Drosophila melanogaster: one gene and its partner. The gene in region 1 interacts genetically with each later gene. Each region holds a gene or a part of one and is shown on either strand. Other genes may lie near its edges.

What was found. Genes that interact genetically often act in the same process or in processes that back each other up.
Region 2: of neur (region 1) and eff, changing one suppresses a phenotype caused by changing the other (phenotypic suppression), as found in Drosophila melanogaster (one study listed by BioGRID).

What each region holds. Positions count from the first base shown.
Region 1 is NT_033777.3:9,032,043-9,035,797, reverse strand, and holds the start of neur (neuralized), read left to right. Parts: upstream 1-2,066; 5' UTR 2,067-2,348; coding exon 2,349-2,619; intron 2,620-3,755. UniProt on the Drosophila melanogaster protein: Involved in neurogenesis. Interacts with other neurogenic proteins in the specification of the neuroblast versus epidermoblast cell fate.
Region 2 is NT_033777.3:14,739,720-14,743,474, forward strand, and holds the start of eff (effete), read right to left. Parts: upstream 1,601-3,755; 5' UTR 1,288-1,600; intron 1,222-1,287; 5' UTR 685-1,221; coding exon 661-684; intron 1-660. Other genes in the region: jvl (javelin-like), read left to right, coding at 2,459-2,872. UniProt on the Drosophila melanogaster protein: Catalyzes the covalent attachment of ubiquitin to other proteins. Mediates the selective degradation of short-lived and abnormal proteins.

The DNA.
Region 1 (3,755 bases):
TCGATTTTAACCTGGCACGTGGTCGGCTGGCTGGCTTCCTCTTTCTCCGCTTCGAAAATCCCTCTTCACCGTGTATCTGTGTATCTTTTGCTATGAATTTACACCTGGAATTGGCAAGCAAACAGAACGAAACCAATGGCAGGGGCTGCGCGGGGAAACGCACTACAGTAGAGCAAACCCTTTTCGGATCCTTTTTCCAACTGCAACCGCAGATGGACACCTTTCGTTGGTGATCATGATGGGTACAGTGGATATCGATAAGCGAAAAACTATGATACGCAATTATAATACATAAGTATTCATACATTTAAAAGAAAAAAAAGAAATGGTATCCTAAAAATAAGGTTGGTTTAGGGCTTGAAATAATATTGCAAGGATATTTACTCTGCATTTTTAATATTTCTACTTAACCTAAAGTCGATAAAAAATATTTCTATCCAATGATCACTGTATTCTTTGACAATTTTTGGGGTTGTTCGTTGGTCTCGATGTCTGCCGGTTCCTGTTTCGCCAACATCACCTTCTCCGACCTTTTTTGCATTTTTGCAAACTGAGCGAACAGGAGGGGGAAATCGGGTAAGCAGCAGCAGATGTATTTCCAGGACGCACGCCTGCTGCCAGGATGCTGAATATGCATTTCCACTTTAATATCAAAATTTAAATGCTTTCTGCCCCGTCTTGATCCCTTCCGATCTTGAAAATTGCATCTGCTGTGAGGTCTGCCCGGTTCCGTCTGTCGATGCAGGACAAAAAGGACGAGGATGAGGATAAGGAGCGCTCGGCGCAATTATCATCCTCCATCAATGGCAGCGTGGCATCCATAAAGGATAAAGGATGATCAGACGCCAGACGGCAGTTATCCTGCTGACCACAATGCTAAAGCTTAGCAAATGAGACCACAATAGCATGTGTCCCAGATCATAGGTACATTTTTTTAAATTCTGTGTAAGCTAATGGTTTCAAAACTGGGAATTGAGTTACAAACTTTCCATTTCATTTTATAATCTTTATAGTGCAAACTTAAAAAATCAAAACAAAAACAAATCTCGTTTCATATTCTCTATTAAAATAAATTGCACATACAAAATGGACAATTAAATGTGCCGAAAACAATTGGGAAAAGAAGAAATTTATTATTATTATCAAGAAACGTTTGGGAATTTTTTTTAATTCCCATGGAATTACTCCATACATACTCCAACTGAGTACATACATACACACATATGTATGTACGTGTGATATTTGGCCCACAAAGTTCACGATCAAAAGCATTAGGGCAATTGAAATAGTTTTCTAGTTATATGAGCCAGACCTTGTAAACCCTGCGAAAAAGAAAAAGAATTGCTTTGAACCTGGCTGAACTACACACACACTAAGGTGAGGAGAATAACTGTTAGTGAAGATCAGAGCACTATGGCCAAAATCCCAAATGCAGGCCTAGAGCAACAACAACAAGAAGCAGGAAGAGCAACAGCAGGAGAAGATGTGGAGGAATCCCTGATCAAGGTGCAGAGTTAGAGGCATAAAGGTAAATTATAAGGGAGGCTCTATACACGCGAATAGCAGGCACAAAGCGAAACCATAGTAAATAAGAAACAGCTGCCAGAGAGAGAAAGAGAGCGATGGCGTCTCATAATTTTCTCTCTTGAGCTCTCTTTTTCGCTCCATCCACGCTCAGGGCTGACAGCCCTTAGCCAGAAAATGGATAAATTTTAAATTATTTGAATAGATTGCTTACAAATTATAAGTTTAAATAAATTGAAGCATTTTTAATGTAATTTAGTTACCGTTTCTTGATTTTAATTAAATTGTAAAACAGGAAATGTTATTCAAATCTACAGCCCAAATTGTCACTAAACGTTAATAGTAATTATAAAAAACTTAAATTTCCAAATATGTCTTACTGGCATACCTAAACTTCTAAATATCTTGAAAACATATACTAAAAAAAGCCAAATCTGACGGGAGAATTTCTGCGCGCCAGTACTATCCGTTACTCTCCAGCTGAGCTGCGTCAGCGACGTCGCGCTGGTGCGAAGCTATAAAAGGCTGCACCACCGTTTATTTGTTGAAAAAAAACTCAGCGAAAGGTTGTCTCGAAGTTGTCGTCGTCGGTCTTTGTGTTTCGTATCGTTTCGTTTCGTTTGTTCCCGTTGCGCGCAGACAAACAACCAACCAAATTCAAAATGTTTTAACGGAAAACATTCAAATTCGAAGAAGAACTCTATCGCTTAATTTAATGCCAAATAAAATACGCAAGCAGCTTGTGCATTTTCATTAGCATTACGCGTGTTCGTTTAGTTCGTCTGTTTTAATTTAAATAACGAAATAAGAAATAATCCACTACCATGGGTCTATCGGATATACCAGCCAACTATATGCAGGGCAGCCATCCGCACCTAACTCTCCATCCGCAGCAGCAGCACCACCAGAATCAGCAGCACTTGCAGCATCTGCAACAGATGCAGCAGCTGCACAACGCCATGCCCACTCCCGCCCAGCAGGCCGCCCAGGTCCTGGCCATGGAGTCCAACGAGCTGCTCATGAGCACCAAGGACAAGCTCTCTAGCAAGAAGAAAATGCACTTGCTCAAGAAGATCAAGAAGCGCTTTGGATTGGGTTAGTAGTCGCATTAGTACCAGGCTAAGAATCGGGCTAAGGATATCGATGGATATATTAACAAGAATATTCAGTTAATTTCCAAGTCGTTTTTCAAAGGACGTACAATTCTCGGAATATCCAGGAATAATTTTTAAAATCAGTGTGATTGGGTTCTAAAGTAGATGTAGTACATTTTAACAATATAAAACTTCCTTCGTGATATCTGACCATTAAAGTCTTGAAGCAAATGTAATTACCGCGTGCGAAAATGCCTTAAATACATTATTCATCGATCTGGGAATCGTATTTTTATCTCCAGCGATATTCCCACATAATATTAGCATGTGGTCTGACCTATCGCTCTTTCATTCATTCGGTTAATTAAAGCGGCAAGATAAATAAGCGAGAAACACAGCCAGCCGCAATCATTTATGCATACATTAGCATTTTACGTCTCAAGAACAATAACAAATAACGAAAGATAAGAGCAAAAACCGAAAAAGTTTGAGTTAGTTTAAAACAAAAAGCTAATGAATAAATGCTCACCCAGAACACGCCCAGTTTGCGATTATAATAGTAATTGTTTTTTTCCGACTAGATAGACACAAAAGAAGCGCGAAAAAATCTTAAATGTGAAATTCTCTCAAGGCTTTTTCGGCAGAATTTAACATCGACACTCCGACTTTTTCGCCGGAAATGTCAGTTCTCGAAAACTGAATTTTTCAATCGCACCCAAGTAACCGCAAATTGATCGAGAAGACCAGATCGGAGGGATCTTGAGTTGAAGAAAATACCACCAAAAGCAATTTTCCCAAGGAGCGATTATGTTTATCATAACGATTATCTGGGCTGGGGAATTTGTTGCGCTGTTTTTGTTTTGGTTGCAAGCAGCTGAGCTAAGGAAAGACAAAAAAAAAGAAGTAAAAACAACAAATCACCTTTTTTTTTTGACTTTGGCTCAATTGCATTCTCGGCTTCAATGCTCTCTTTTTTGGCCAAAGCAGGCGAAGCAAAAGCAAAGCAAAGCCAGTGACGCATAGGCTAAGCTTCTACCCCTTTTTTTTTTATTTTTACTGGCCTCCTACGAACAATTGTGGTCGCACAACTAGCAGTCGAATATCAACGAACGACGCAATATGAATAATAAAAAAAAG
Region 2 (3,755 bases), 5.7 Mb from region 1:
GGTTAATTTTATACGCTTCTTGCTTTTGCTCTGTTTTATTTTTTGCTGGATCTTTCTGCGGCGCTGGCAGTGTGTGCGTTTATGTGTGACTGTTGCGAGGCTGAGAGTGTGTGCGAGTGCCGTGTACAGCGTGTATTGGGTAACAGCGCCCGTAGAGCTGCGAAAACTCCGCCGTATAGTTGCATTAATGTAAATGCATCCAGGTGCCCGGCACACACGCACACAAACAATGCACATTTGCATTGCACTTTCACGCACACGCATCGCACACACACTTATCCCACACTCTCGCAAAAGTAACGGAAGCGATGACTGCACTACACGTTGCCTTGCCCACCACACACACACATCCTTATACCTTTTTCACCACCCTCAAAATTTCTAATCTGCTCCTAATTACTAACTTATTAATTAAATGGTAACTCCACAGCTCATTTTCTCCCTTCCCTCTTGCACGCTTCTTTCCCCCCGCTTCTTCTTTCTTCTCCTCGGTTACTACCTACGTTTCACATTTCTTGCATAAAATTTTTCTCCCGTTGAAAACTGATGTCTGTTCGCTTTTTTTTTAGACTATCATTTTGGTGTATCGCAAAGGGTTCTGTTCTTTCTTTTTTTAGTCCGTTTCGCAAAGTTTTTTGAGATATTCCTTTTTTCACATACCTTATTGATTCTTTTTAACGCCATTTTCTGATTGAAATTTGATTTTCTGGGTTGTGTGTGTGTTTGGTTGGTTGTGTGTGTGTTTGGTTGGTTGTGTGCTGGTGTTGGTGTCTCGCGTATTTCTTTTGTTCTTCGCACAGAATTGGGTTTTATTCAATATATAATCCTCCTGCTTAGAATTGAACGAAAAACGAAACACAAAGCTGCGTTGCGCCTCTAGAACTTTGATGCTTAAATATGGCTCTTTCGGTTGAGTGTCCCTTGTCACGAAATAAAGCAGCACCAGCGCACTGCAAGTAAAAACGGCGACCCGACGAAGACTACGGCGACGATTATTTTTTCACAATCAATGCGGGGCCTTTCGACCGTTTGTGCGATAGAGACGACCGTTAGTGAGCTGAGAACGCAACGAAGCACAATCGTTACACCGAAGTGTAAGCCCGAGCGAGAGGAATGGTGTGTCTGTGTCGTGTGGTAGTGTTGTGAAGCGGAAGTCCAGCAGAGCAGTCCAGCTATATGACCTTTTCGCTAGGGGTGGCCAGATCGATTGGGTGGCAACGCCTTTTAGGTGAGGGATGAATCAGTTAATTACAATTTGATTGCCAATGCAAGACTCTTCATACTCACTTTAGTTCGGGAACAGCCAGAAGAAATAGTTTTACCGGCAGCGAGGAGGTGTTATATTTTATTCGAACTACCTTCTTATCGATGGTGCGTGCGCCCAAAAGCTTGCAACTTGTATGTAAATTTGTTAACACCCAACGTGTTGCAGGCTGCCGGAATGTTTTTACTGAGCAATTTTGAGATGTTGGTAATCCGAGTTCTTGAAAACTTTCCGACTAGCTACTGAGTTCTACAACTGAATTGACAGGGCGTTATTTTAAAATTTAAATTCACTCCAGAGCGCTGGTCTGGCAAGGCCGACGTGCCAATTCAGGATACTTGTCGATATTTTCCGTTGTGCTATCGATAGTTTTTGGGAATAACAGGCGTTAGTAGATTTTTAGTATTTAGATTTTATTATCATAAGGATGAAAATATTTTTAACAAAATAAACTGGTTCATTTAATTTAACTTTTTATTTTCTCACTACTCCAAATGGCGCTTCCGCTGTCTGAAACTGCCGTTATAATAGTATGAACAGTTAAAACAATCGACGGTAGCTGAATTTAATCAATGCAGCCCTCTTACCCTATACATCGATAGTATCGCATAAACATCGATTTTGGTTCCAGCTCTAACTTTAACTGTCTGCAAAATATTTCAAACAAAAGTGTTTGTTAATTAAGTAATATACTTAATATTAGTGGCTGTTTTGCTTCGACATTGATCGAATTGCGGTTGTGCAAGTGTTTTGTTTGATTTGTTGGCGTGTTTTTCCTAGTTTGGCGGCCCTTTGAACTCGTTCGTGTATCGCCATCTCTCTCCCACCCCCGCAATCGGCTTCGTGCGTATTTTTTTGTGAATTTTTACACAGAACTCACACTTTTGTATGGCCCAAGAATTTGTACAATATTTTTGCACTTGAAAAACAAGAAATAATGAAGAAAGCCAAGATAAACGCGACGATGTGCAAGTGCTAATCATTCAGTTTTGGCAAGCGCTGAACTTCGCTGACTTCTTGAACAGCAAAAAAGATGGAGGAGGATAATGCCAAGGTCCTAAGTAATAACAACAAGAACAACAGAAACAACAATAAGGGACGCCAGCAGCTGCAGGGACACGCCCACAGCTCCGCCACCGCCCACGCCTCCGTCGATATATTTATATTCGATTTATAGTAGCTGTAGTTGTAGTCATGCCAACAACAAAAACGCAAACACAGACAACAACAACTTGCAGCGAAGAGGAAGAAGCGGCGATAATACGAGAAAATTGCGATACGCCAATGGCGACCCCAGCAAATGCAACAACAGCAAACACAACAACTGCAGCACCCATAACAACAACAACAACAACAGTAAATACGCGCAGACAAGAAGAAGCAGCAGCAGTAGCTTCCACACCTAGTGTTACGAAAACGGCAACAACAACAAACATACTAGCCGCTGCAGCGGGATGCCACAAGCCGTTATTCTTCAGCCGCCGCTTTCAGGACAAACGGAACTTTAGCTCGCTACCGCTCTTCGTCTACGCGACCTCGCCATCAACGCACGCCCACTCAGCGGACGGAGTAGGCGTGGCCAAGGAGGCAGCCGCGTTTTGCCACAAGGTGAGTTTGTTGCACAAAGAACCAGATAAACTTGTAATATTAGGAGAACAAGGAACTTCTATAATTGCCAATCAAATATAATATATCCCCTTTAAGTTATGTATTATAAAATGTAGTATTTTATTTAAACTTTGATAATGCCATTTGTATGTATTTAGATTTAACCCCAAAACAGGAAAAGAAAACCAAAAATAAAGAATTCTGGTTGGAACAGAGAGTTTCCAGTTCGAGGGATTCGTTTGGCATGTCACAGAATTGTAATTGTAATAAAACCCCCATGGGTTTTAATACTCATTTTCTACCTTCCACTCTGCCATCTCTTTTTTTCGAGCAATCGCACCGCTCTTTCCGCTCTAAACTTGCGTAATGGATCACTTCCGCTGCACTTGCAACTTGGGTCGTGTCATATCTGAATATATAATTCCCGCCCAATTCATAGTTTAAACAGTAAGCTCCGCCTAAGAAGAACGCGCTAATAACTCCGTGGTTATACTTAAATGAGTTCTTGATCCAGATTATAAATTTAGATACCTAATATTCAAATAGATATAGCTTTAGAAAAGTTGTAAGTTTAGCATGGTTGGTTGTTTCGTTTGTAGCCACTAACTACTGTATTATATTTATAAACGTTCTGCTTGGCTGCCGCAGTCCGCCTATCTGTTCCTCTCGGAAATCGGTGCATGCAGAATCAGATCTCCATTGGAAATGCGTTTTTAATGTTAATCACGAGCGGCTTTAAAAAAATTGTTTACACTGCGTTTTTTTTGGGCTGTTTGTTTTTTTTTTTATATATTTTTATATCAGTACCTTTTTTCGAGTTTCTGCAGCACGGTGATCGCTCAAACGTGTCAGACATTAATGAGCCAACCGCCAACCGCCAAAG